Linked DNA regions of Notamacropus eugenii. The protein of the gene in region 4 interacts with the protein of the main gene of each other region in a biochemical or structural test. Links are inferred from orthologs where the notes say so. Each region holds a gene or a part of one and is shown on either strand. Other genes may lie near its edges.

Region 1 (7,673 bases), on a different chromosome or scaffold from region 4:
TGTTTTCAGTGTTCTACAATCACTTCCATATATCTTAGATTTTTTTCCCCCTCCCCCACCTTTCCCCCTCCTTTCCCACTCTCTCCCTGAGACAGCATACAATTTTATATAGGTTCTACACATACATTCCTATTAAATACATTTTCACCTTAGTCATGTTGCATAGAAGAATTAAAATGAATTGGAGAAACCATAAAACAAAACATAATACAAAAGAAAATGATCTGCTTCATTCTGCGATCGAATTTCATAATTCTTTCTCTGAATGTGGAAGGCATTTTGCCTCAAGAGTCCATTGGGAATTTTTTAAGTCCTTCAATTGCTATGAAGTACTAAGTCTACCAGAAAAATTCCTCGAACACTGTGATTGTTGCTGTGTACAAAGTTCTCCTGGTTTTAATTAGCTTTTAGAAAGGGGCATTTTACCATAGTGATATTGTTGGTACAAAATACTCCCCTAAAAATCTGTACCACATTCTCCCACAAGTACATAGCAAGAGGGCCCTAGCTGCAAGTGGGCTCACGTTATTGAGAATGTATGGTGATGGGGTAACTCACCGCTCCTGAAATTTGTTTTTTTTATAGTAATCCTCAAGATGTCTCCATTAGGTATGGTGCAGTCCTTCTGCTGAATTCCTTGTAGACCTCTGAATCTGCCTTTCCTCAGCCTGGTCCAGTGATGCTGATAAGAGGTCTAGGAAATCCCAGATCCTCCAGACCCTTCAAAGTTGACATGGTCTTCCTCTTTGCAAAGATGGGAGGGGAAGGAGTATGAGACCAAGGACCAAGTAAGCCTTATTTTTCTCTTCTTCTCCCCACCATGCCAGGCAATTCTTTCTGAAGGGCTATCTATCTATCTATCTATCTATCTATCTATCTATCTATCTATCTATCTATCTATCATCTATTTCACCCTAAGTTACCAGGAGTTGAATCCAAGCTGGCTGGATGTTTTTTAAATGACCCTCATGATACAAATAAGTTATCTTAACCAATTGTAAAAAGACTTGCTATGCACAATTATTCCAGTTCATTCAATGATTTTCAAGAACTTCTACAATGATCAAAGATTTTTTCATACTTCACCTAAAGCCTATGATCGATTGGTTAAAGTCTAGACCTAGGTCATGCCTAATTTTACCCCTTGAATTCACTAATTGTCCTTTCCTGACAGAGTTGAGAACACTCTGGGTGTAGCACCTTGTAACTTATTTGAGTGGGGTGGCATGATTGGATTGAATTGAGTCAATTGATCTCCACTCTTACACTTAATTGTTGACCTGGGCAATAGTTGTAGGTCCAAGAGTCCCTTCCAGGCCACTTGAGCTGAGGCAGAGTGGAAATAGCTTCCTTGAAAATGAGGACAGTGGGTCCTAGAGCAGGCTTGTAGAGCATGTAGGATTTTGGGGGGCCAGTGAAAAATATACGGTTACCACTACACCTTCTCTGCTGCTTATCACATGACCCAAAGCAATCAACCATCACCAGTCTGTCTCTAGTCTAACCCATCTGCTGCCCAAAGACAGAGTGGAGAGTCAAGTGGTTTAGCTCCTCCCTAGTATGGCTTCTGGTGGTCCTGTTTGGAGAGTGAAAAATGTCAAGGGTAAAGATGACAAAGACTTAAGCAAGTAGAAATAATTGATAACTAATATCATGTTCTCCTGTGAGGTTGATACCTAAAGCAATGAGGGACCATTTTATGGGTCTGATGGATGTGTATTCCACCTTTGGCTCAGTTCTGCACTGTCTTCCTCCAGGTCAACATCTTCTGGCAAGCTAGATCAGAAGTCAAATTCCTTTTTCTGTTGGCCATCCTTCTGTTTTGAATCAGCTTCAACTAGGGGCCCCAGGAGATCCTGACTTCTTAAACCCATGAGGCTGCCTTTAAGATTAGTCAGAGCTATTGCAGGATCAATATTCAGTCATTGATGCTTAGAGGCAGAACATAGAACAGATGAGGCAGCCAGGGGCACAAGGCCCAGTCTTAGGCTCAGGCTCCCCTAGACGGGACACATATTCTGTGCTCTGCTCTAGAAGCTGCCATGCTGCCAGGCCCCAGGTGGGGGTGGATGGGCGTCTCTTCTACCTCTCACCAGAAATCTGAGTTACTCCTTTTAAAGCCTTCTTTATGAATGGCTCTTCTTATCTCAATAGCCAATCCTCTAACGCATTCTCTCCAATTCACAACCCTCACCCTAGATGGGGAGTGAGAAAACAAGGTTTCCAACGAAGAGACCACTGAGGGTTTTTCTATGTCATCAGAAAGCAGCAAGTCCTTCATACTTACCTACATGGTGTCCCTACAAGTTGCCAGGAGAACTCAGCATTATGCCTCATGATGAGTACTCCAATCTAACCCCTGATATATAAGTATTTCACCATTCCACTCCTTGGGTTTAGTTCACCCTTTTGTCCAACCCATTTGTATTATCTCTACCCTATGTGGTCATTTTCCAGTATTTTATTTATAGCTTTAGTATGTGTATATAATATTTCATCTATGACATATAAATATAATACATAATAAACATAAATATTTATACATAGTATATATATATGCTTTTAAAAAGCAAGCCTTCTAGATCTCTTCTACATTAAAAAAACTACATTTACAATTTAACAGACATTTGTCCCTGACCTACAGAATACCCCCAACTTTACAAACACTAATTAAACATCAATTCTTCCTCCTAATGGAGGTTTTTATTATTATGATCCACATAATTTGTGGGGACAAAGGCCCATCACTGATGAGAATCTGGTAGCAGAATATAATCCATTGTATGGTACACAGCAGAAATTTACCAACTCTACAGACCTACTGTCATTAAAAATCCTGGAGACAGGCGTCTTTTTGTATCAAAAAGTTATAGAAGTGTTAAGAAGTCTAACACACATGTAGGAGTGGACAGGGGAGGATGCAATTAAACCCCAAAAATCCTTTGATGAATTTTAACCAAGCCTAATACACATTTGCATTTAATAAAAGCCTGGTTTGAAAGAATTATTTAAAATGTCAATTTTAATGATGTGTTTTAAAAATAATTCTTCTCTAGTGACTTCTCACAGAACTCTCTGTGAGACAAGCTAGTTGGTCTCAGTGTGGAACAGACCAGACAAGGGCTGGGGAACCTTCAGCCTCTAGGTGATCAAGCGCAGCCCTTTGACTTAATCCAAACTTCACAGAATAAATCCCCACAAGGATTTGTTCTGTAAAACTTGGACTCAGTCAAGAGGCTGCACCCAAGGATCTAGGAGGCCATATGTGGCCTCGAGGCCCCAGGTTCCCCACCCTTGGATCAGAGACTCTTCCACGGGGGAAGTCAGCCTTCAGAGTGAGAAGGTGTCTCCAGGTCCAATCCCTCCCTCCAGGCCCTCCTGGGACAGTCGCGGAGCCTGTTTCCTAGGCAGCCAAGGAGCCAGCAGTGCCTACCTCCCCTCTGGTGAGCCTCTTTGCTCATGAATCATAATCCCACAATTAGGACAACTGGTGGAGCACGTTTCATCTTCACCTTGATGGCTTTGTTCAAATGGCAAGGAACCCTTTATCTTGGGTTTTAGGTACCAGCGATCCGCAGGGACACAGCCTTTCGCCGTCCCATCGGAGGCACATGTGGGCTGGGGGGCGCTCCCCAGGAACTTTTATTTTTTTAATAGCCTGAGTGCTAATGCTAATGTCTCCAGCTGGTCCTGTACCTAGCTACTGTGCTATGGTGGTTTGGCCATCATCTCTCCCGTTACAACGCCAGCGCCCTGACAGCAAGGACTGGGGTTTTCTGCCTTTCTTTGTATCCCTAGCACATTGCACTGTGTTTGGCACGAAGTGGGCACTCAGTGCTTGAGTCCTCCCTACGGCAGAAAAGCTTTGTTAGAGTTGGAGGGGACCTTTCAGAGGAGACGAGTGAGGTCCAGAAAGGGAAGGCGACTTGTCTAAGGTCACTCTGCAAGGTGGTGGCTGAGCTGAGACTACTGTCCAAGGTCACAGAAGGAGGAAGGGAAGGCTCACGCCGGGGTCACCCCCTACACCGCCTCCCTAACACTTAGGTCCAGACTCGTACAGAGTTTGGGCTCCCAGGTCTGAGCCAGAGAAGATGGAACACACGGTCAACTCTCCGCAGAGGAGAGGGACAAGCAAATTAAGGAGCGAGGGATGCTGAGTGCGCGTGCGCAGCGGGGAAAGGCACTGTTGGGGGAGCAGAGGAGCCAAAGGACGGGAAAGATGGATCATTGGGCCACGCGTGCGCAGGAGGAGAAGGCGGGGTTGTAAGGAGTTGGGTGGGGGCGGGGGAGAAAGGAGGGAGGGAGGACGGGAGCGTGGAACCCGTGCGTGCGTAAGTGAATGAAGGCAGGGCGGTAGGTGGAGGGCAGGGAAGCATGGAATTGCGCGTGCGTGAAGGAGAGGCAGCAAGGAGTTGGGTGTGGGCGGGGCGGAGAAGGTGGAGCAGTGCGCGTGCGTAGTGTCTTAGAGGCGGAGCCGAGGGTAAACCGCGAGGAGCTGGGAGGCGGAGCGGAGGAGGGGGGCGGGGTTTCTCAGCGCGTGCACGTTGTCGGCGCGCGCCTTCACTATTTAAAGTCTCAGAGTTCCCCTAGCCAGGCTGAGCACGTGGGGGAGCGGCCCGAGCCGAACCGAGTCGCTGGGCCGAGGCGGAGAAGGGGGCGGCGGCGGGGTCGGGGGTGGGCGGGGGCAGCGGTAGCTGCACGTGAACTGACTGCTCCTGGGGGGGCGATCGCCTAAGAGCTCGTAAGTGTGGGTGATCGGGGTGGGGGGGGGAGATCTCCCCGCCTCTGCCCCGGCTGGGTTGGGAGGCAGCGGTCGGCGGGCGTTTGGCCCCGGGCTCTCCTCTTCACTTCCACGCCTGTCCTGTCTTCCCGGCTCGTGGGGACAGCTGAGAGGTGCGGGGGAAGCCCGGGGCGGAGCAGCGACCCCTCCTTGCCCTCGTTCTCCCAGCCATGTGTGTCCGCACCTTCCCCAGCGCCGCCGTCCTCGGCCGGTCCTGGGCTGGTGCTTCCCTCTAACTTCTCCTTCTGGCCGCTCCTCCCTCCCTGCCCGGCTGCCCGCGCCGCGCGCTCCGCTTCGAGAAAGCCGCCGAGCTGAGCGTGTCCCACCCAAGGTCGCCCGGCTCCGCGTGCGTTTACTTTCCAAAGGTCGTGTGTACCCAGCCCGAGCGGGCAGAGGGGGCCTTGGGATAGAACCGGATGCCAAGGGCGCAGCCCTGGCGTGGGGTGGGGCCGGGGGTGGGGTCCGAGGACTGGCTCTCCCGCCCCCCTCCTTGCCCACCCAGCTCCTAGAGATACTAGCCTTGAACAGCAACTGAAGAAAAATGTCATCCGCCCTTAGGCCCCGGTCCCGTTCCCGGTCCCGTCCCAGGTCCGAGTGAGGCAGGTGGTAACCGAGAGCCAGGCCCCTTGATAGCTTAACTGATGTGGCTTTGCTCCGTGGTAGACGTTAGCGGAGAAGTATTTTGCCAAATCGACCGTGTGAGCCCGGGGATGAGTGCTGAGGAACGAGGAGAAAAACCCTTCTTGGCTAGTGTTTGGGGAGAGGAAGCAATGGGACGTGATGGAGACTCCAAAGCAGGAGTTGTCACGCCTAGAGAAAAGCTGGTGGAGTTCCGTGCTTCGTGGGAGAGGCCCCCGGGGTGGTTGTTGGACGAATGTTACCGAGCAGAGGGGATTCCCCCAGGACCTGCGGCAGCGACCTGGGTGCTGGGTCTCTTGGGGGGGCGCACGCACCTGTTTGCAATCACAGCTTAAAACAAAGCTAGAGAGAAGGTGCTTGGGCAGGACTCGACTCAGCCTCAGGACAGAGGGGGCGGGCGCTGAGTTGGGCCAGCCTTTCTTTTCTCTCTAGTGGCTCTCAGCGCTATTGGACGGCAGCTGGCAGAAAGTGCATGAGACTAACGGGTTTTTGTTTTGTGTTTTTGGCCCTGTGCTGTTCATTGAGTCTACGGGAAGTGCCTGAAGGTTATGTAACTGAGATCCAGTTGTTTTTTCCTTTCCCCTTCTTTAGGAAAACTTATTCCACCCTCACTTTCCTGGGGGCAGAATTGGGAAGTGGAGGTGAACGACAAGCAGAAGGTGTGTAAACTGGGGGCAAGGTCAGGTGTCAAAATAGAAACAGGCTGACATTTTGATCCTAGTTCTGGTAGCAGATGCCCTTTCCAGCAGGTTCCCACTTTCCCCATCTGCTGTTACCGATAACTAGTTGTCTTTGCTCTAAGTGAAGGTAGAAACACCTAAAGAGAAACCTTTTAAGTTGGTATAGTGTGAATTTTTTTTTTAAAAGAGGCTAGTTTAACTATTGTCCTCTAACTTAAGCACAGACTACTTGGTATTTGAGTATTTCTACGAAGTGAAACCAATCTCAGCTGAAACGACTTTGTACAGCCTGCACAATCTTCTCCCTCTCCTCTCCTCCCCTCCCCGCGCGAGTTTTAATCACCAATGAGGGAAGGGTTCTTTGTTAACACAATTTAAATAAACATAAATCATGTAGGAATCATAAATTGAGGTACCTATAATCTATAATAGGAACTAAATCCAAAACTTGTTGGCCCTTCCATTGTTTTATAGCCCATGTTATGTGTAGAAAACAAAGCTTTGGCTGGCTAGAAGTGAACTGTTCTTAATACTTAAATGATACTTTGTACTGTTTTTTTAAAAACAAAAACAATAAAAACCCTGTAGTATCACTTGGTATTACCTGATTGTCTTCATTTGGATTCACTCTGCCTGTTAGCAGTAAAGTGGAGTTTCTTTCCTGTTCACCTCGGAAGAGATCTCAGCCCTTTCTCTTTTCAAAGCACGTGTAGCAGTAAAAGGATCAGAATTTAAGAATCCCTCAAAGAACCAAACTAACATTTAACACTGCAGTTTTTTAAATCCCTAAGGCAAAATAGGATAATAATTTTTATTCCAAATAAAATAACATGTGCTTTTAATTATTTGTGTTTAAAGGGCAAGTAAATGAGATTGTGTTTTTATAAGGGCTTTATCTCTTCCTAGTTATGTGACTGAAGTGTAAGTGCTAGGGTGAGATTCTTTAGTTGAACTCCCTCTTTTTTCTTTTCTTTTTTTTTTTTTAACCAGGTCAATTAACAAGCATTTATTAAGTCCCATTCTATGTGCTCTTTGCTGGGTAAACTGCTGGGCATAAAAATACAGGACTGAAAAGAACCTGGGGCAAAGAGAACTGAAGAAAACAAATATTTTTAAAGTGCTTACTATGTTAGATATTGGAGATTAAAAGGAGGAAAAGATACCAGCTTTCCAAAAATTACTGCCTATGGGGAAGACAATGTATGTATGTACCTGTGTTCAGAATAAATGTAAGATAGTTGGGAGGGGACACAGTTGCACAGAGTATTAAGTAGCGTAGCCTGGATTGGAAGCCACTTTTCAGTCCAATGTACGTGGCTCTTTGCAGTGGAAAAGAGAACTTGTTTGGATTATGGTGATAAAATAAGGAGCGCCAACTGTAAGACTCCCTTGACACCCTGCTAGGTATATGGAGATCAGTTGAAGGGACTAGAATTCCAAGGGTTATTCTTACATTAGATGATACTCCAGAAATTGTAGATAATTGACTTGAGTGAGTTTGGCAGTAGTTAAATGCTTACTTAATTCTCCCCTCTCTCCCCCATTTATCAAACGCTCCTACCCACAAGACAAAA
Region 2 (7,570 bases), on a different chromosome or scaffold from region 4:
AAAGTGAGCAGAATGATGCAAAACAATACAAAACCTGGTACATACTCTGTACCTATGGTGCAAGTGGAGGGGACTTATTACAAGGTTATTGAACTAAGTTGTTGATGCTGGAAGGATCAGCCTAGGAATTTTAAGTGAAGTGAGAAAGAAGATTAATGTGGTTCTTGTATGGAGGACCAATCAGAAGAGGCAGCCCAATTGTGGAATTCTTCTGGAAAGAGGCAATTCAGAAGTATAGGGCTGTCAGGAAGTCATTTGGGAAAAGAGAGAGTTAGACAGGATAGGAGGAACGAGGAGGAAATGAGTCTTTTGTTTTATTCATCATTCTGTTGAGGGGGAGAGTGTGTTCTTTAGAGACTTTTGGTAAAATCTTATAGGAATTTAAAGTACCTACTTGGTACAGCCTTGTAACTTGATCCTTTAATGTTCATAAAATAATGATCATGTTAAGATTGTTATATCTAAGACTGTGTTATAAGACATTTAGAATCACATTTTTAAAAAAATCATCTTGCAATAAACCATTAAAATTTTTCTGCTTAATGTTCTTCTGACCCGGCTTTCAAGCTCTGTCCATCTGTCCTGATCTGACAATTAGGAAAATTTTCGCTTAGCAGAATTGTGTTTATTTTTTTTCCCAGGTTACCTTTCTAGGTTTCAATGAAGAAACAGATGCTGGTCATGTGCAGGTAAAGTAGAATGTGGAGCGTGAAAAGGAACCTCTGTAAGTCATTTCAACGAGCTTCATGATGCCATGAAAATCTTGCCTATCATTATAGTGTACCATTATCTCTTAATTCTTAAAATTGAAACTTGATTTTTTAAAAATTTCTGACAGTGCCTTGGAAGTTTTGTACTTTTTAAAAATTAATTTAATTTTAGTTTTCACCATTCATTTCCACAAGATTTTGAGTTCCAATTTCTTCCCCATCTTTCCCTTCCACCTACCCCAACACAGCATGCATTCTGATTACCCCTTACCCCAATCTGCCCTCGAAGTTTTGTACTTTTAACCTGTTTGAGTTTTCCTTTCATGAAAAAAGTAGTCATAGTAATAGTAATCATAGTAGTCGCAAAAGTGGTCTGAATTGTGCAGACCACAAGCGAACTTCTCTTTAATACAAATTATACATGGTGGGAAAGAAAAAAAATTAGGATTTTTTAAAGTTGTGGTTTTGATAAAATATTTTATCTTAATCTTACATATTTTGATATTTAAATAATATAATAAGTACACAACATTAATTTTATAAGATTAAGTATTATCCAATTTTATATTTTTACCTGATGTAGTTTAGTACAATTTTTGTTAGTATTACAGTGAAGGGATTGAATGTCATCTGAGTTATAGCAAAACAATTTAGTGTGCATGTGCTATATATCTTCTTTTGAATTTGCAACTCTATTTACTGAATTTCAGTTAACTTTGGGCTTTCTTTTATGACATCAGAGTTGCTTTGAGCTCGAGGAAATAGGTGTAAAACGGATTTGTATTAGGTTAATGTGTGTGTTCTACATGTTTTTTATATACTTGTTTCCTGTATTAGAATGTAAAATCTTTGAGAGTAGGGATTGTTTCATACTTTGTACTTTTATCCCCAGGGTCTAGCACCTAGAGTATAGTAAGCACTTAATAAATTCTTGTTGCTTGATTGATTAACCAGTCACAAATCTATGAAGTGTCTCAGGCTAGAGTTGAACTCAGGTCTTCCTGACTTTAAGTGTAGTGCCCTCTCCACTACTCCATGGTGCCTCTCATAAATAATTTTACATATTGACAACCTTTAGGGCAAATCTGTGAACACTCGGTAGTGCAGATAAAAATTTAAGTGAAGTTTATTTTTAAAAATTCTTTGAAAGTTGGTTTTCCGTAAATAGATTTTTTAAACTTATAGACTTTATATTTTATCTGTTAACCAAATAGATTATATTTTCATGGTTAGGGGCTAAATTAAGCATGTCTCATACTTTTTCTATGTGTTTTTAAAATTAGGATTTAGCTACAATTTCTCTGGAACTCCCAGATCTTCTGAATTCTATCCACTTCTGCAGTCTAAGTGAAAAGGAAGTTATTTTTCTGAAGGATATAAAGAAGTCATCAGAAACAAATGCTGATCCTCAAAAACAGGTAAATAAAGTTTTAAACAGTTAGTCATTTTCAAAAGCATTTGGCTCTTCCCTTCCCCCTCCTGCACATATTGAGCAATAAAAAGGAAAAGAAGACTTTTATAACAAATATGTAGTCCTGCAAAACAAATCCCCACATTAGCTATGTCAAAAAAATGTCTGTCACATTATGCATTTTAAATCTATGAACTCTTTGTCAGGAGATGGACAGTGTGTTTCATCTTAAGTTCTCTGATTTACCATTGTTTTATTATTGTATCAATCAATTCTGAAATCTTTCACAGTTGTTTTTTGTTACAGTGTTGTTGTTATTATATAAATTGTTCTCCTAGTTTTGCATGCTTTGTTGTATTATCAGTTTATAAGATCTTTCAGGTTTCCACTAAAACTGTTCATTTCTTAAGCACAAGAATAGTCCAATAATTTACATACCATAATCTGTTTAACTATTTCTTCGTAGCTGGGAATCCCCTTAGTTTATATTTTTGTATATATAGGACACCTTTTCCTTTTTGCTTGATGTCTTGGGTTTGTAGGCCTAGTAGTAGTCTGGCTAGTTGAAATGGTATGCAGAATTTAGTCACTTTGGGGGTATAGTGCATAGTTCCTCCAATGGTGCATTAATGCACCTGTTTTCCCAAAGCTTTTCAACATTTGTCATTTTCCTCTTTTGTTATTTTTGCCAATCAGGCTTAACTTGTTTTTATTTGATTATTAGTGAATGACTTTTTCACATATTTTTCACACGATAGCATGGAATTTTTCCTTTAATAATTGTAGATTCATATCCTTTGACCATATTTATCTATAAGGAATGGCTCTTTCTCTTTAATTTAAATTAGTTCAATATATGTCTTTGATATGAGAGCTTCATTAGAGAAACTTGCTGCAGAAATTTCCGCAGGTACCTTTTCCCCTTCTAATTTTAATAGCATTAGTTTTTATAGGTGCAAAAATCTTTTCAATTTTATATTATCAAAATTACCCAGATTAAAACCTCTCAATAAATTTTTATGATATAAATTTTTCACATCAGAATTTATGTTTTTGGCCAAAACTATTATGAAACTTTTACATAATGGGTTTTTCAGGTTTTTTTCTTCAAGATATTCTTTTTTGTTGTTATTGTTTACTTGTTTCAATTATGTCTGATTTCATAACCCCATTTGGAGTTTTTTGGCAGAGATACTGTAGTGGTTTGCCATTTCCTTCTCCAGTCTATTTTAATGATGAGGAAACTGAGGCAGACAGGGTTAAGTGACCTGCTTAGGGTCATACAGCTGGATTTGAACTCAGGCCTTCCTGACTCCAAGCTTGGCGTTCTATGTCCTGCACCATCTAGCTGCCCAAGGTTTTCTTAAGAAAATATTGTTTATATAGAATATTAAATATTAAATTAAATATTATTAATTATATTATTATATAATATTATTATTATTATGTTATATTGGAACATTATATAACATCATTAATTTAATTAATTAATTTAATTAATATTATTAAATATTAAGTTAAATATTATTTATTACGAAAATATTATTTATATAGATTTGGAGTTAGTATCAAAGAATAGAAGTGTTTTACCATAAAGAATAAATTAATAGTTTATATTAATTAAGTAGATGAGAAATTATATGACTGTTATTCTTTCCCTTGTATGAATTCATCATGTTAAATTTATTGCTCACCTTCTTCAAACACCTGTATATGGGTTGTAAGCATTTAACTCTTCACAGGATGTTCTATGTTTGCTATACATATTTTTGTTATTTGTTTTAGGGCTTGTGTTTAACTTCATCTCCCAAGCAGAAAGAGTCACATAAAGCAGATGACTGGGAATTTGTAATCTTAATATAGTATTTGATTTTTTTTTTCAGAGCATCATAGATTTATTTTTTAAAAAAATTTATTTATTTAACTTTTAACATTCATTTTCACAAAATTTTGGGTTCCAAATTTTCTCCCCATTTGTCCCCCCCCCAAAACACCAAGCATTCTAATTGCCCCTATCACCAATCTGCCCTCTCTTCTATCATCCCTCCCTTCCCTTGTCCCCAACTTCTCTTTTGTCCTGTAGGGCCAGATAACTTTCTATACCCCTTTACCTGTATTTCTTATTTCCTAGTAGCAAGAACAGTACTGGACAGTTGTTCCTATAACTTTGTGTTCCAACTTCTCTTCATCCCTCCCTCCCCACCCATTCCCTTTGGAAGGCAAGCAATTCAGTATAGGCCATGTCTGTGTAGTTTTGCAAATGACTTCCATAATAGTTGTGTTGTGTAAGACTAACTATATTTCCCTCCATCCTATCCTGCCCCCCATTGCTTCTATTCTCTCTTTTGATCCTGTCCCTCCCCAAGAGTGTTGACTTCAAATTGTTCCCTCCTCCCATTGCCCTCCCTTCCATCATCCCGCCTACCCTGCTTATCCCCTTCTCCCCCACTTTCCTGTATTGTAAGATAGGTTTTCATACCAAAATGAGTGTGCATTTTATTCCTTCCTTTAGTGGAATGTGATGAGAGTAAACTTCATGTTTTTCCTCACCTCCCCTCTTTTTCCCTCCACTAAAAAGGCTTTTGCTTGCTTCTTTTATGAGAGATAATTTGCCCCATTCGATTTCTCCCTTTCTCCTCCCAATATATTTCTCTCTCGCCACTTAATTTCATTTTTGTAAGATATGATCCCATCCTATTCAATTCACTCTGTGCTCTCTGTCTCTGTATGTCTGTTTGTGTGTGTGCATGTGTGTGTGTGTGTGTGCCTACCCACTACCCAGATACTGACAAGTTTCAAGAGTTACAAATATTGTCTTTCCATGTAGGAATGTAAACAGTTCTACTTTAGTAAGTCCTTTATGACTTCTCTTTGCTGTTTACCTTTTCATGCTTCTCTTCATTCTTGTGTTTAAAGTCAGATTTTCTTTTCAGCTCTGGTCTTTTCATCAGGAGTGCTTGAAAGTCCTCTATTTCATTGAAAGACCAATTTTTCCCCTGAAGTATTATACTTAGTTTTGCTGGGTAAGTGATTCTTGGTTTTAGTCCTAGTTCCTTTGACTTCTGGAATATCATATTCCACACCCTTTGATCCCTTAATGTAGAAGCTGCTAGATGTTGTGTTATCCTGATTGTATTTCCACAATACTTGCATTGTTTCTTTCTAGCTGCTTGCAGTATTTTCTCCTTGACCAGGGAACTCTGGAATTTGGCCACAATGTTCCTAGGAGTTTCTCTTTTTGGATCTCTTTCAGGAGGTGATCAGTGGATTCCTTGAATACTTATTTTGCCCTCTGGTTCTAGAATCTCAGGGCGGTTTTCCTTGATAATTTCATGAAAGGTGATGTCTAGGCTCTTTTTTTGATCCTGGCTTTCAGGTAGTCCCATAATTTTTAAATTGTCTCTCCTGGATCTATTTCCCAGGTCAGTTGTTTTTCCAATGCGATATTTCACATTATCTTCCATTTTTTCATTCTTCTGGTTTTGTTTTGTGATTTCTTGGTTTCTCATAAAGTCATTAGCCTCCATCTGTTCCATTCTAATTTTGAAAGAACTATTTTCTTCAGTGAGCTTTTGAATCTCCTTTTCCATTTGGCTAATTCTGCTTTTGAAAGCATTCTTCTCCTCATTGGCTTCTTGAACCTCTTTTGCCAATTGAGTTAGCCTATTTTTCAAGGTGTTATTTTCTTCAGCATGTTTTTGGGTCTCCTTTAGCAAGGTGTTGACCTGCTTTTCATGCCTTTCTTGCATCTCTCTCATTTCTCTTCCCAGTTTTTCCTCTACCTCTCTAACTTGATTTTCAAAATCCTTTTTGAGCTCTTCCATGGCCTGAGCCCATTGAATATTTATTTTACCTGTTTGGGATACAGAAGCCTTGATTTCTATATCTTTCCCTGATGGTAAAGCATTGTTCTTCCTCATCTGAAAGGAAGGGAGGAGATATATGTTCACCAAGAAAGTAGCCTTCTGTGGTCTTATTTTTTTCCCCTTTTCTGGGCATTTTCCCAGTAGGTTACTTGACTTCTGAGTTTCCTCTCCACACCCATCTCACCTCCAGATCCACCCAGCCAGGGCTTGGGGTCTGAGATTCAAATGCTGCTTCCCAGCCTCAGGGCTTTTGGTGGGGGTGGGGATGCTATTCAGTGTGAGATCAACTTCAGGTGCTCACTTTGGGGTAGGGCTGCCTGATGGAGCTCAGTTCCCTCAGGGGGTTTATGCAGAGACCTTCAACAATGGATCCCAGCTGCTGCCTGTTCTGGGAGTCCCCCCCCCTTGTCTCCTGCTGCCTCTGCTGCTGCCTCCTGAGGGGGCCTGAGTTATGGGGGCACCCCACTCCCCTCTCTGTGAACCAAAAAGCCCGTCTCACTGACTTTTGCCTCCTGTGGATGGAGGGACCTGCTCGACTGCTGGAGATTCTGTCCCTGAAGCCTTCTAGGATCTGCTCCTCTTGGTGTCTCGCGGCCAAGGCAGGGCTGGGCTCTGCTCCGGGTCTGGTGTGCGAGGGACCTTTCGGGTCAGTTTTTCAGGTCTCTCTGGAACAGAAATCTCCTCTGCTACGTTGTTGTGTGACTTCTGCTGCTCCTGAATTTGTTGGGAGTTCTTCTTTACAGGTATTTCATGGGCTGTGGGTTTGGAGCTAGCATATGTGTATCTGTCTACTCTGCTCTTGGCTCCTCCCCCAGTATTTGATTTTTAAAATGAACATGGACATTTAAAAAAAATTCAGATAGAGGATCAGACAGAGCTTAGGCAGCAATTACTTGTTAACCAAGTATGTGATCTCCTTGTGCATCAGAATGAAGGATTTTATGTCTTGGAAATTTAGATATTTGTGAAGAATATTGTCAAAGATTCCTTTAAAAATTAGGCTTGAAGACTGTGAATTTGCATTTTTATTTGAGATCTGAAAAAGTCCTCCTTATTGTTGAATTTACAATTTCCCATTTCCTCATTTAGGCTTTTTATTCTTATTTAATCTGTAATGCACATGTATGTATATACACATAAACATAGTGCATACTCCTACTTATACACACAATTAACTTTAAGATCCATGATTTCTCTCATGATATACACTTTATTCTCTTAACACTGACATCTGTGTAAAATCTGTTTTCCTTAATTGATCTAATCTTAGGTATGCTTTAAAGTGGTATATTCTAAACATTGTCATAGGTTGTAATAACAGTAACATTTATTAGTAAAATTAAGCAATGTCATAGTTGCTATTCAAACTCAGAGAACCATGGACTTACCTTGTGAGTTTAAGTTTTAAATGAAGCTTAAAAATGTAAGCCTAAAAAGCTGCTACTTATTGATTTAAAAATTACTTTCCTTTCCAAGTTCATGCTACCCAAGCATATCACCAAACTCTTCACCTCCTTTGGAATTTTGTCTCACCTCCATGGATCCTTTTTACTTTTTGCAAAAATGTCAGCATCCAATTTGCT
Region 3 (7,417 bases), on a different chromosome or scaffold from region 4:
AGTACTGGCCCTGGAGTCAGGAGGATCTGAGTTCAAATAGGGTCTCCGACATTTGATACTTAGTAGCTATGTGGCCCTGGGGAAGTCACTTAATTTCTGATTGCTTTGAAAAATAAAAATAAAAAAAGAGTCAGTCATCATGTTTAAATTCCATTTAGACAAAAGGCCACAACTGAAAAGAGGTCTCAAAAAGAATGATGATCACATGCTGAAGAACTATTTAAAAGGACAGATTTTGTTAGGAAGCAAGACAGTTATTGAGTTCTGTGCAATCACAGGAAGTATTTCAAAAGAGATTTCTCTCATATTTATGTGGCTTACAAAGAAGACTTTTCAACGGATGGCTTCTGAAAAGTCACTGGCAGGAAGGTTGAGCCAAGGTCTGGAAACTTCATTTCATATTAATCACTGACTGACTCTAAGCAAAGTACAATTTATATAAGCATTTCCATAACTGAGATTTAAAAAGAGGGAAATATTTTCTCAACAAAAGTAGCTTTAGGCATGGATTTCTAAACCGTATAGGACAAGAGCCTGGGGTTTCTAACAGCAGTTAGCTGCGCAACCTTGGGGTTACTAAGGGCCTAAGGGCCTCAGTTTCCTTATTTCTATAAGATAATCAGTTGACTGATAAGGACCCACTCAGCTCTATCAATCTCCTGTTTCCTACTTTTGTTGTTATTAAGTGTTAGAACACATATAAAATGTTTACCAAAAAGAAAAAAAGATAACTTCTGAAAAGAATTCTTGGACTACTTCAATTCCCCAAAAGCTCACTGTGAACTTTAGAGCACTCTTTAAGTTCAACTTGTGTGACTTACTGCTAGCTAAGATTATTTCTTGCTTCCTGCTCCTTAAAAAATTTCCAACCAACCTATTCTGCCAAGCATCTCTTTAAACAAATTCAAACAAGCAAGCTCCATGAGGGCAGGTACAGTCTTTTGCCTCCTTTATACCCAGGGGTTACTACTGTGCCTGGCACAAAGTAGCTACTTATCAAAGTTTAAGGGCCTACTGGCCTATTAAGGGTAAGGCTCAGGCAAAGAGGATATGAATACAAAGAAAAGTGAAGACAGTTGAAGCCCTCATAGAAGCCTGCATTCCCTTCTCTCCAGCTATGGTTCCTGCCTGGCACATTTTAAAATCTCTTTAAATGCTCAATTGTCACCACCTCGTTTTGTTTTTTTCTAAGTCAGCGAAGAATTGCTATTTAAATTTGCTTAGGATCCTGCATTGGTCAATTTCCAGCCAGCAGATAAATTACTCTTTTTAACTGTTTCCCTTTCCTGTCCTATATTTGGCAGAAAAATGGGTATATCCAGCATGGCGATTTAAGGATTCAGATTTAAAAAATAAGTTTCAGTACCATCCTAAAAAGAGTTCTGTTTCCCTACCAAGTTTGTTATTATTGTTGTCTGTGGGGTTTTTGTGTGTGTGTGTGGTTATTTTTTCCCCTAGGAAGACTCCTAGGAAGGCAGAAACTCAGCACTGATTTTTATTTATTTACTGGAATGGGGTGGAGGAGAGGAGGGCTGTACTTATGATATCCTTGGCACAGTGAACGCCCAGCGAGTAAACTCTATCAAGGCATTTCAGCTCCCGCGCCTCAATTTTTGCCTTAAAGAGAACTGACTTGGGCACTAAGGTTAAGTGACTTAAGAGATTTTCAGTGCCCAGGATCACAAAGATAGTATGTGCCCTGCTCAGAATTTGAACACAGGTCTTCCTGACCCCGGGCCCGCTCTCTATACATCATGAGAGACATTAATTAAAGTCTTTTAATTTCAAAACTGGGGAAGCTGAACATCTGCAGCAACTCCCTTCTGGGCCCAAGTGCGCAGTGGATGCCCCCAACCCAGCTGCCTTCTCCTGGGGAGGAAGCACCCAGGACAATCAATGAATCAATAAACAGCTGACGCCCCGAAGCTGCCTCCAGGACAGATGAGGAGGCACTGAGAACCACCAATCGTGCCACAGTCAATCAGTATTTATTAGGCAATCACTATGTATCAGGCACTGTGCTAAGAGCGATGGATACAAAGAAGCAGCAGAAGGCTGGGCTTGTCTTCAAGAAACTTACGGTCTAATGAAGGAGAGAACTTGCAAACATGTACACACACACACACACACACACACACACACACACACACACACACACACACACACACACACACACACACACACACACACACACACACACACACACACACACACACACACACACACACACACACACACACACACACACACACACACACACACACACACACACACCCCCCTAAATTCTGGATAAACAAGACATAATTAGCAGAGGGGAGGCCCTGGAACGGGTTGGGTTGGGGAAGCCTCCCCGCAGGAGGCGGGACCGTAGCTGGCACCTAAAGGAAGCGGAGCGGGGGGCGGAGGAGGCAGGACCCTGGCGGGGTCCCCATCCCTTACCGGCAATATCCCAGAGCTGCAGCCGGACCAGGGTCCTGCTGTCCCAGTTGAGGACTTTGAGGGCGAAGTCCACGCCGATGGTGGCCCGGTAGTGCTGAGAGAAGAGCTGGTGCACGTACCTCTTGATGATGCTCGTCTTGCCCACCCCAAGCTCGCCGATGACCAGCACCTTGAAGAGGTGCTCCTGGATGTCGGGCACCGCGGCGCTCGCAGCCGGCCCCGGGCCGGGCTCCCCGGACGCCCCTCCAGCCATCCCCGCCGCGGCTCCGAGTCCCGGGCCCAGGTGTCCCCCGCTCCGCGATGCAGGCGCCCGGGGACAGCGCAGAACTCGCAGAACTTTCTTCTAACTCTCAACTTGGTCGCAGCAACTTTCCACTCCCTCCTCCGCGGTCTACACGCCGCCTGACTCGAGTCACAGGACCTGGAACCTTCCGCCTTATAACAGCCCCCTCCTACGGGGCGGGGAAGGGGCTGACGAGGGGAGGAGACAGCCTCGGGCCCTCCCTCCTAGTCCCGGCCCGAGGACTGAGCTCCTCGGCTGCGGTTTTCTTTCCCCTCCTCCCTTCTCCCTTCCCCCTTGCCTTTGGGGGTAAATAAGGCCCTGAGCTCCTGGGAAGACGTGGACGCTGCGCCCCACCTCGCAGACGCACCGCACCCACCACCTCTCCTGGGCTGGGCAGACGTGAGGAGTAAATCTGCCAAACAGGCCTGCTGGGGCGCTGCGGGAAGCTCACACTTCCCACCTGTTGCACACCCGCCTGACCGGGCTAGACTGCAGGCAGTCCGGGCTTCGAGCCGCAGGGCACTTCCGTTTTGTCCCCAGGGTTCCTGAGAGCCCCCATGGGGTGCAATACGTGGAGGACAGGGTCCCCGCCTCTCTGCCCACAGAGGAGTTAACTGACCCTCTGCTTCTAATCCAGCATTAAGGAAGCGACGCTGGTTTCAGCTTCTAGGACTAAGCCCATCCCCTTTCAACCCCGGACTGGGACATTTGGTGCAGATGGGGTTCAAGCCCCAGGGGAGCCTGGTTTCTAATGAGAGAAGAACTGGGTTGTCTCTCGTACTCCTTAATCGCCCTCCAGGACAGTCCAGGGAGAAATTATTTAAAGATTGGCTTTGGGACTAGTGTTCAGGTAATCCCCAAAAGGAGGAGTATAAAAGTACTCAGCTAACAATATGATTTGGGTATGAGACGGGCATTTTAGTCCTCCGGGCAAAAGAAATGCTAAACCCAGATGACCTCATAGCAAACCTGTGCAGAACAACTTCCAAACAGGAATCAGAAACAGCTTCTAACTATTGTTATAATCTGCTGGGAAGCTGATAACTTAAAACCTCATCTGAACATAAAAGTGTGCAGGACTGCTCATTAAGCATTTTCCATTTCCCCTCAGCTCTGCACTGCTTCCGTCAAAGTTCAAGTCCTCTGGCAAGCCAAGTCAGGACCTTAGCCTCCCCTTCCATTTTCTTCAGTACAGAAATTCCCTGCTTCCAGTCAACTTCTGTTAATGGACCTCTCTACCTCCAAGCCTAGATGTGTCCCTTTTGATGTTCAGTCAACTACTTGAGTGAAAGGAAACATTTAGTCAGTTAGCTAGCATTTATCAATCACACAGTGCACAGAGCTGGTCAGAGGCCTAGATGCAAACTTCCCTAAAGAAGCCTCCTTATGGGAGTTGCCCCACGAGAAAGGTAGCTATAGTTCTGGAGTGGAGCAGGGCCAGCCTGCTTATCTGAAACCCTCACCCCTTACTGCAAGAAATCTGTTAAGTGATGCTGCCTGTAGGGCCTCAGGAGAGCCTGAACTTCTCTCTCTTTTTAAAATGCCCATTGAATCATCAGCTCCTCCAGCATAGCATCCTGCAAAGGGTATCCTGGTATCAAAGCACCAAGTCCTTTACCCACTGAGCCAACATGTGACTACAAAGCCTCCAAGGAGTTTATCATCTCTGAGTGATCATGTTCCAGAAATTTCCTGGGAAGCTCTGGGCACAAGCTAGCTAAGATAGCCCCAACAGGCCAAAGCAACCTCTGATAAACTGATCCTAGAAGCTGTTTTAAGAGGGAGGACAAGGTTAGAGGAGACCGAGATCAAAACCTTGTTGTTCAGTTGTCCTTTTTTTTTCAGTTGTATTCCACTCTTCATGATTCCATTTGAGGTTTTCTTGGCAAAGAAACCAGAGTGGTTTGTCTTTTCTTTCTTCAGATCATTTTACAGATGAGGAAACTGAGGCAAACAGGATTAAGTGACTTGCCTGGATCACACAGTTAGTGAGTATCTGAAGCTGGATTTGAACTGAGGTCTTCTTGACTCTAGGCCTGGAACTCTATCCACTGTGCCATCTAGCTGCCCCTAGTACCTTACTTGGGAGCAAAGAGTGGTTGGCATATAAGCAGAAAATGTCTGGGGGTATCCTAAGGAAAGGAGATGACTGATTTCTTTCATAAGGATTGAGGGTCAGAATGGTTACTTGGCCTTTAGTCATACATAGCAAATAGGAAAGCTGTGATTTCAATTCAGACCTTTTACCAATATATGCTAGCTATGGTCAGCTCCAATCCCCTGCCCTCAGGAATATTCATGTCAAATGCTAAAGTCATACACTGTACAAAGCTGTCAGAAGTAGGATTCTATGTCCTTAGAGACAGATTTAAAAACAAAAATTTTCTCACAATGAGATTTTAAAACCTTAGGACCATGTATCACTAAAACCAACATCACTGTCTCTCAAGCAGCAGAGTACTCTAACAAGATAGCATCTAGAACAACTTCTCTTCCCTCAGGCCTTCTTCAGGTTCCCCAGGAGGACTGTCCTCTGTCAAGTGAGTTCAGAGACCCTGCCATGGAGGAGACCGTTTTGAGAACTTCTCTTCTGAAACTGCTTTCAGAGCCTGTAGTACATAATTTTGAGCACCTCAGTGGGAGGTAAAGGACTGACTTAATCCTTGAAGGTAAGATTTTTGTTTATTTGTTTTTGTTTTTGTTTTTTTAAACAGCCAAAAGTCATTCAGGATCAAGTCTGTTGCTAGAGGTAGGTTATCAAATTTGATAATGTTGTGTTGGTTGGTTAAATCATGAAAGTGTGAATAGGAGTGATTTTCTATTATGGTAGATGAACCAACTCATTTTAATGAATGCAGTAATTAAAAAAAATAAACATGGAATTTCCTCAAGTAACTACTTTCAAGAGAACATTATTCATTTGTCTGTATGAGTTCTACTGATTCTGTTTTTCTAAAGATAATGATGAATATGGGTAGTTTCTCCCAGAATGCTACCTTCTGTGGTTACTCTTTTCTCTTCAAATCCTGCCATCTTTTAGTCCAGGCCCACATTCATTTTTGTCTTCTCTATGAGAGATGTCATAGTATAGTAGAAGAAAAGCTGACCTGGTCTAGAAGCCAGGAACCCCTCTCATCTCTGACGTTCACTGGCCATGTCAATCTGGGCAAGTTATTTAACCTCTCAGTTTTCTAGGCAACTAACACTATGAGTTGTATAGAAGGTGTTACTCTGTATTGGAAGATGGAGTTTTCTCACCTTATACTGATAAAATCAAGTCCAGTCCTTTGCCTTGATAACTTCCTGATAACAGATGACCCTGTCTCCAGTTTCTGTTATTGTCAGTCTATCTTTTATACAGCTAGCAGTAACTTAACACAGTGCCTGACACATAGTTGTGATTGTGTTGTGGTTTGTCCATTATTGAAGAAGACCATGACATCAGGGAGATAATATGTTTTGCAACTGACTGTGATTTGAGTGAGGAAGGGTTGTGCAAGGTCACCGGCCTCACTTTCTCCTCCAGAGTCATCTGGGCCCAGTGGCCAGATGTAGATCAGGATGACTGGAGATGACCCAGGATGCACATAGTAGGTGCTTAACAAGTGCTTATTGACTGAGTGAGTACCAAAATACTTAAGTCATAGGTCTGCCCACATCACTCCCCTACTCAAAACCTTCCCAGGTTCCTTAGTGCCCATAAACTAAAAATTGACAGACCTATCATTGAAAGTCTTCTCCAATTTGATTCCATCCAACCTTTCTAGCCCTAGTTTATATTATCTCCCATCACACACTCTACCTTGTAGCATAATTGACCTACTAGCTTTTTCTCTACCTCTTCTCAACTCTGTGCACTCTGATAGGCTTTCCCCTAGAATACATTCTTTCCCCATTTCCAGATGTTGAAATCCTTCTTTCCTTCAAGGCTCAGCTCAGGTATTGCCTTCTCTAGGAAGCTTCCCTGATCCTTCCTTACATGTTCCTAGAGCACTTTGCTTAGATTTGTTCTTTGTACCTTTCACATTCTACCTCATGTCATTATTATTTCTGTACATGTCATATCCTACCTAGAGGAGTTTATGTCCCTTCAAGGCAGATATGTCTGTGTTTTTATTTTTGTGTTACCAGTCCACAGAACAAAGCTGTGCGTCCAGTAGCCATTTAATAAATGTTTGTTGAACTGAAAAGCACTTAAGAGATTAGCTGTTAAATTGTTTTTTAGTGATGTCTGACTTTCTGTGACCTCATCTGGGGTTTTCTTGGCAGAGATAACTAAAATGGTTTGCCATTTCCTTCTCCAACTCATTTTACAGATGAGCAACTGAGGCAAACAAGGTTAAATGACTTGCCCAAGGTCATACAGCAAGTAAGTGTCTGAGGCCAGATTTGAACTTAGGAAGATAAATCTTCCTGACTCTTGGCCCTGCAATCTAACTGCCTTCCATTTAAGATGCAAAGTAGCTAATAATCAAGACCGATATAAATATATCTTTTATATACTTTATTTCAGAAACATGACCAAAAATGATACCAATTGTTTCCAGAAACAATGCACATCTCATCTTCTGACAATATAATAATAAAACCAATGAACAAGTATACATCAAGTTGCACATGTATAACATATATTGCCACCATCTGGGGGGAGGGGAGGAAGAAGAAGAGAGAATTTGGAACTCAAAATTTTTTTAA
Region 4 (7,162 bases):
ATTGGGATGATACCAGAAGGACTAAAATGGCCACTTGATCCTTTGACTCAGAGATCTCGCTGCCAGGCACAAGAATGTCCAAGGTAGAAGGAAAGGCCTCACAGACAACAAAATATTTATGGCAGCATTTTTTCTATTGGCAAAGAAGTGGAAACAAAGGAAAGCCCATAAATGAGGAATAATAAGAAAAAAACCTGTGGTATATGAATATATTGGATCATAATAAAGGGTGAATATAAAAAATGCAAAGAAGAATAGATTTATTTGAACTGATACCAAGTAAAGAAAGCGGAGCAGAAAAATAATGTACTTAGTGCATAGGGAAAGAACACCCCAAAACCCCATAAAATGTAACATCATGGAGTAGTGACCAAGCATGTTCCTAAAGAAGAGAAATGAAAATACATGTCCTTTTCTTTGCAGATGGGATGTAATTATGGGTATAGAACCCTGCATATACTGTCAGATTTGGTGTATATATTGGTTAGTTTTGCAAAAACGGCAAATTAAGGAATTGTAAAAAGAAAGGAAAAAAATATGACCAGGAAATGAGAGATGTTCATTGAGTAGAGAAGGGTGAAAGATAAAAGGTGTCTAACTGAATTGCTGCCCTCATACTTAAAGAGCCAGCACATTGGATAGATCTTCCTTGGAAAGGCAATGATAAAGAAGGAGTCTGTTCCAGGCACTAGAGACCTTTCAAGCATAGCACCTGTTCTGGACTATTACCCTAACTTGTACTCACTATGTATTGCTTTCCCTGTTAAGTATGGACTAAAATCTCATCTTCTTTAGGAAGCTTTTATCAATTTCACTTCCATCTGGTGCCTTCTTTCTGTTAATTATTTCTTATTTATCCTTTTTATACCATGTTTGTACACTTTTTTGCTTAATAAATTAAAGTATGTGTTTAATAAATGCTTATTGTCTAACCATTACCACATCTGACTAAATCAGCTATTTAAAGCCGTCCAGAACGTGGCCAGTTTTCAGTTAGCCAATCTCAAGTTGCCCCTCTAATTACATTAGAGGAAGAAGACGATGCCATCAGAGAAATGATGACATGACTTGCAACTGACTCTGTTTTGAGGGAGGGAGGGCTGTGCAGGTCACCAGCCTCACTTCTCCTCCAGAGCCATCTGAATCCAGTGTCTGGATATCCATCAGGATGACTGCAGATGACCCAGGAGGAGGCAGTTGGGGTTAAGTGACTTGCCCAGGGTCACACAGCTAGTGAGTGTCAAGTGTCTGAGGTGAGATTTGAACTGAGGTCCTCCTGACTCCTGCCCTGGTGCTCTATCCACTGCACCACCTAGCTGCCTCAGTACCTAGTTAACAATACCTAGTTCTCTGCCCCTCTACATTCTGCAATTACATCATTGAGGGGGAACCAAATGTTTCCCATCCCGTATATGAGCAAATGTAGGGAGGCTAGATAATTCAGCACAAAACCCTGCATGGTAAGGGGAGCAGTAGAAAATAGAGAAGCAATGGGCCAAGAATGGTCTAGTTTGGCTCGACCTAGTACTTTGGGATAAGGCTATCCAAGTGGATTGGAGCCAGATTGTGAAGGACTCCATAAAGGTCTCTGGCTCATAAGATAAGAAAAGGAGACAGTTCATTTAATTCTGTTTTTCTCCACCTCCCTGGTCTGGTATAATATAGTATGAAGCAGATGCTTGTCAGTGGAAAAAACATATTTAGAGTCAGAAGACTTTAGGACTGGGCAAGTCTCTTCTCTATGAACCTCAGTTTACTCTGTAAAATGAGAATAATATAACAAAAGTGTTTGGGAAAATGGGACCTATAATTATTTCTGTTTTCTGTTTACAACCTTTGTTTTGACAAGAAAGAGGACCTTCCTCTGTCCTAAGAAAAGAGGGGCCTTTGAACAGTTCAGGGTAAGTCTAAGTTTACAGGGTTGTAAGAACAGTTCTGATGAGAGGGAATGGGAGTGGGTTTTGATGATGTACAGCATAAGTTTAGGAAAGACCTCTGAATTTCGAGTCAGGAAGCCTGGCTCCAAGGACTGGCTGGTTCCGTTATTCAAATGACCATCGAAGGTCAGAACTACATTAGACATCTGGACAAAAAAATGTCAGCTGCAATGCATTTTAAGAATCCTCTAGTTTACATCCCTTATTTTATAGACAGGATAAGGACACATTTTGTTCTCATGATAGGGTTGCCAAAGGCACATTGCCTGGGAATGGGAGCTGCTGTTTTCGCCTGTTTGACAGTCTTTCAGAGAATGGTTATTTATATATTCTAAATCAGTAATCCCAGAGGAAGACTGGACAGAAAACTGGTTAGAAAGGGGCAGCTAAGGTGGAACAGTGGATAGAGCAGCAGGCCTGGAGTCAGGAGGACCTGAGTTCAAATCAGACATTTAACACTTTTCTAGCAGTGTGATCCTGGGCAAGTCACTTAACCCCAATTGCCTTGAAAAAAGAAAAGTGGTTGGAGAATGAGAATAACCCTCTGAAGTCCAAGACTGAGGCAGATGCTGAAGTGAAAAAGAGGCATTTCCATCACGGTCCTGGCATAGAGATGGGGCAAATTGGGGCGACTTAACATGAGATAAAATTCAGCACAAGTGGGAAATGGATTCCTTTGAGCAATCCAGAATGTGTAGGTAGAGGATGGGCAAATAGGACCTGGGTATTTAAGAACGGGCTTCAAAATTGGAAAGTACTGTGTCCTTGGATGCATGCAAGAATTTAAACTCTTAGCTGAGGTGCCAGGGAAATCCCTTGACGGGCTAGCTGCTTTCCACTGTTCTTCTGGAGAGGATCATGGTGATAAACAAGTACCATCTTGGTACAGAAGAGCAGCCATGTGTAAGGGATCATAGAAGCAAAGTTGAGTGATGCCATTAGAAAGACGACTACAACTGGCTAGAAGCTTTTGACTGTAGCAAGGAAGGGGATGTTGGATATCTGATGGCATGGAGAAGATAATGGCGCTAAGTTTGAACTGTAGAGCATCGATAAGGCACTGCATTTAATGAGAGCCTTAAAGGGGCCTGGTGTCTCTCAACTCTACAGGTTTCTGAATGGAGGGTTCTTACTGCATGGAGGTGGGAGCATCCCGACATTCTCAACGGCTCAGGTTCAAGATTTTTGAGCTTTCTTTAATTTTTCAACAAAGGTATTCTCCACCTTGAGCCTTGGTTAGCACATGGAGAGCAAAAATAGTGTCTCCCCATGCGGCACTACCAGATGTTCCCACAGTTTCCTTGGGTGCATGCTATGAGCCAGAAAATCAGGAAGCCCCCAAGTGTGCCTGGGCTCTGTGCCTCTGCCTCGTAAAGGGGCTGCGCGAAGGAGGAACCTGGGGCCCGGAGAGGAAGGGACTCGCCCGGGGCGGCCTGAGGGAGAGAGCCGGGAGCCGGCCGGACTTTGACGCCAGACCTCAGGCTCTCCACCACACTCGGCTCCCTGCGCTTGCACCCTGGGCCCCCGTGGGTAACCCACTCGACTTTCCGGCCTCAGTTTCCGGAGCAGAGTCTAGCCTTGCGGCCGGAAGACCCGGGTGAGAATGTCACGCAGACCCAGCTCGAGGAAGCCTCAGTTTCCTCTTTGACAAAAATAAGGACCATTACGCCGAGGGCTGCGAGGTCCCAGGGAGACAGCGCGCGTGGCAGGCTTGGCGGTAAACCTTAGGGGCGCTCCCGGCAGGTAACACCCAGGAATACGCTCCGCGTTAAGGAACCCAGGCCCGCAGGACGCGGCCGCCCCTCCCAGCTCCGGGGCCCAGGGCGGGGGCGGGAGGCTGCGGAGGCGCCGCGGCCGCCCGGGAGCGTGGGGAGGCGCGGCACGCATGCGCCGCCCCCTCCGCCGCGCTAGTCCTTCCCTCCCTCCCGTCGCGCTAGCAGTGTGACAGCGGCGGCCGAGGCGCCCGCAGCCCGAGCCCGCGGCGAGGGAAGGGGGCGGCGGCTCCGCGCGGAGGAAGCCCAGCGGCGGCGGCGAGCCAGGCGGCGGCCGGGCGGCGGGGCGCGCGCTGCGCCCCCCAGGCCAGCGAGAGCCGCGGGCGAGAACGAGCCGCTGCCCGGCGCCCGGGCCCGTGCCGCGGCCGAGGAACCGCCCCCTGCGCGCCGGGCCCCGCGGCGTGTGAGCGCCTCGGCCTCGGCCCCGGCCCGGCCCGCCCGAGCGCGCCGAGCCGCCGCCCCTGCGGCCCGGCCCGGCCGCGTGCGAGGGAGGGAGGCAGGCAGGCAGGCCAGCGGCCCCCGCCCCCGGCCCCGCCATGAGCAACATCGAGATCCCGCCCGGGCTCACGGAGCTCCTGCAGGGCTACACGGTGGAGGTGCTGAGGAACCGCCCCGAAAACCTGGTGGACTTCGCCGTGGACTACTTCACCCGCCTGCGGGACAGCCGCAACGCCGGCGTGGACGGCGACAAGGGCGAGGCCAGAGACATCGAGGACGAGGAAGACGAGGACTTTGAACGTAAGAGCCGGGGCCGCCTCGGACCCCCCAGGGCCCGGCCCCTCCCCCTCCCCCGGCCCGGTCCGCCCGGGCCAACCCGCCCGCCGACTGCGGCCTCCTTCGGGTCTCGGGGGCCCCCGGCCCTCCCTCTGCCGCCGTGGGAGCCCCGCTCTCCCTCCGTCCGCGTCCCCTGTACCGTCCCCCTCCCCCAGACGTTTCTGAGTTCCTCCTGGGAACAACGTTCTGGCAACGGCTTGTGCCCCCGGAGCCCGGAGGGCGGATGCCCCTTGGCACCCTTCGGGGCGGGGGAGAGCTTGCGGGCGGCGCTGGCGCTGTGAAATGCAGAGACCCCAGAGTGACCTCGACTCCTCTGACAGCTAAGGCCTCCGTCCCCCGCGGTCTGGTGGACCCGCTGGTTTGAGATGAGTGTGCCATGTGTGGTACTCCACAAGAAGCAGACCTCCTTATCTTGTTAGAATATGTCACCTTTTGTCCTCCGGGGCTGGGGAGGGGGGTGCTGGAGGGCGGGGAGGTCTCCCCACCGGAGTGTTTTGTCTTAAGAACGAGCACATGAGACTAGGTAGCTGGAGGATTGGATTAATGCCCACCTTCTTAGGGCAGGCCTTCAGTTGGCATACGGGGAAAGCGAAAGCATATGTAATCACTGACAAAAAAAAAAAATTCCTGTCAGAAGGACCATTTTAAAGACCTGCTGGAACGTTTTGGAACTAACATCAGTAATATTTAGAAACCCTAGCGTAATTTAAGGACAATTTAAAATTTGCCTGGTGTTGAACCAGACCTTAGGTACAGTTTAATTTTTTTTTAATGTGTAATTTTGTTTAACATATTTATTTGACTGTTTTTAAAAGGCCTTTAGAACAGTTGTGGAATATTCACTTGGTTTTTGCGTGTGTTGTGGTTCGATGTTAATGAGACTGCAGGGAATTATCCTCATGCATTGAACAGGCTTTCAAAGGCACACATTCATGTTGCAAATATACCGAGCTAGGTATTAAACATACTTGACTTTTAAAACCCAAAATATTTATTTTTTTCCTTTCCAGGTCGCTCAAATCACATCCCTTTTTTAACACACCAGTTAGGAACTAAAACATTGTCTAAATAAATGAATTAAAATTCTAAAATTTCAGTCTCTTCTTCGGTTTTATTTCAAGATAATTAGGCACTGGAACAGGAAAAGCTTGAACATTCTTTTGTTTACATTTCCATCCCAGAACTGACTTGATTTGTTGCAGTTTGAGAAATCTGGTTCTATAATCAGTTTTGTTTCGTTTCTTCATTCACAACCACACACGATTTTATATGTAGAAATTTCTCTAAATAAAATTTGGCTAATGTTTAACGAACTTGTTGGAAGAAAGGAGAAAAGCAACATTGTAATTTAAGGTGCAGCCTATTAGTTAAAATTGTCAAAGAGAAATTATGTTTCCTAGATTGCTTCGGAATGTTTTATGGAGAAGGTAGTCTAGCTTACCTTGAGAAAAACTTGCAGGGGGGACTTGTATTTTCATGGGTACGATTATCAACCACCATGGAACTAATATTTTTAGCCATTTGTGTAGTAGTGGAAAGAGCACTACATTTGGAGTTAGAGCACTTGGGGCTACTGGAAAGTTAGTGGTCCAGTTACTTCTCTCCTGGCCTGTTTTTCATGTGTAAAATGAAAACGTTGGTCTAGATGATTTCTCTTTAAGGTCCTATACCATTCTAAATCCTATGAAGCTATGAATTCCTAAGCTTTTAAGAAAGATGTCTACTGAGGTGCAAGCACCCGACTAGGTACTAGTTAATGATTGACAGATTCATTTTGATAGGCACATATGTTTTCATTCATACCATGAAAGTAAAAAAAAAAAGTCTGTGTTTTAGGAGACCTTTAACTTAACCAAGCTATTTTACAAGGTGTTTTCCAGAAGAGTCCCTGGAATCAGGAGTTGGCTTATTCCAGTTCTGGCTGTGCCATTTGCTTGATGTGTGGCCTTGGATAAGTTGTCAAACCTGTTCTTATTTCAGGCTCCCTTATCTGTAAAATGGGGAGAGCTCTTTTTTTGACCCTCAAAGCAGTATTTTACTTTAGGATTGTTGAAATTTCTGTTACCATCATTTTAAAAATATTTTATTGATGCCTCTTGTTTTTATATATAAGTGATTGGCATGTGATTTCCCCCATTCCCGCACCAAATGAGCCCCTCCTGGTAACAAAACCAAAAGAAAATAAAGACAAAACTGTTAAGGCCAGCCAACCAACCCAGAGACTTCATCTGGATAGTGTATGTAGTATTTCACGCCTTGAGTTCCCCACCTCTCTACTGAAAGGAAAAGAGGCGCTTCATTTCTTCTCAGGGTTTTAGATTAGTCAAGAATTTATTTTAGTATTATTTGGATTTACATTACTGTGGTCATCTTGTTCTCCCAGTTCTGCTTGCTTCATTGGATAGCATTTTAGAGAAATACTGGAAGACTAAATTCCTCATATTTGTTTATTTATGGTACAATAATATTCTGTTCCATTCATATATTATAATTTGTTCAGTTTCCCATTTAGTGGGTACACACTTTTCATTATCATACTTTTTAAAATTTAAATAAAAATTTTCTCTTATGTTATTTTGAACTTTATAAACACTAATAAACATTTTCATATAAATAGAACAGAAAAGAAGGATTGCAAATGGAACCATGAATCTGTACCATGTACAGTTTTTTCCCTTT

The links.
Region 1: the proteins of PRKAR2A (region 4) and AKAP1 form a complex in vitro, tested with the Homo sapiens proteins (2 studies listed by BioGRID, with this or other methods). The link is inferred for Notamacropus eugenii from reciprocal best matches to the Homo sapiens genes PRKAR2A and AKAP1.
Region 2: the proteins of PRKAR2A (region 4) and AKAP11 form a complex in vitro, tested with the Homo sapiens proteins (2 studies listed by BioGRID, with this or other methods). The link is inferred for Notamacropus eugenii from reciprocal best matches to the Homo sapiens genes PRKAR2A and AKAP11.
Region 3: the proteins of PRKAR2A (region 4) and RAB32 interact in a test that uses a peptide from one of them, tested with the Homo sapiens proteins (2 studies listed by BioGRID, with this or other methods). The link is inferred for Notamacropus eugenii from reciprocal best matches to the Homo sapiens genes PRKAR2A and RAB32.

Annotation. Positions count from the first base shown.
Region 1 is NC_092873.1:369,175,968-369,183,640, forward strand, and holds the start of AKAP1 (A-kinase anchor protein 1, mitochondrial), read left to right. Parts: upstream 1-4,657; 5' UTR 4,658-4,741; intron 4,742-6,010; exon of another isoform or gene 6,011-6,078; intron 6,079-7,673.
Region 2 is NC_092877.1:292,373,613-292,381,182, forward strand, and holds the start of AKAP11 (A-kinase anchor protein 11), read left to right. Parts: upstream 1-4,556; 5' UTR 4,557-6,307; coding exon 6,308-6,730; intron 6,731-7,570. UniProt on the Homo sapiens protein: Binds to type II regulatory subunits of protein kinase A and anchors/targets them.
Region 3 is NC_092873.1:238,083,202-238,090,618, reverse strand, and holds the start of RAB32 (ras-related protein Rab-32), read right to left. Parts: upstream 3,010-7,417; 5' UTR 2,693-3,009; coding exon 2,440-2,692; intron 1-2,439. UniProt on the Homo sapiens protein: The small GTPases Rab are key regulators of intracellular membrane trafficking, from the formation of transport vesicles to their fusion with membranes.
Region 4 is NC_092872.1:7,586,243-7,593,404, forward strand, and holds the start of PRKAR2A (cAMP-dependent protein kinase type II-alpha regulatory subunit), read left to right. Parts: upstream 1-4,161; 5' UTR 4,162-4,245; coding exon 4,246-4,447; intron 4,448-4,569; exon of another isoform or gene 4,570-4,848; coding exon of another isoform or gene 4,849-4,897; intron 4,898-7,162. UniProt on the Homo sapiens protein: Regulatory subunit of the cAMP-dependent protein kinases involved in cAMP signaling in cells. Type II regulatory chains mediate membrane association by binding to anchoring proteins, including the MAP2 kinase.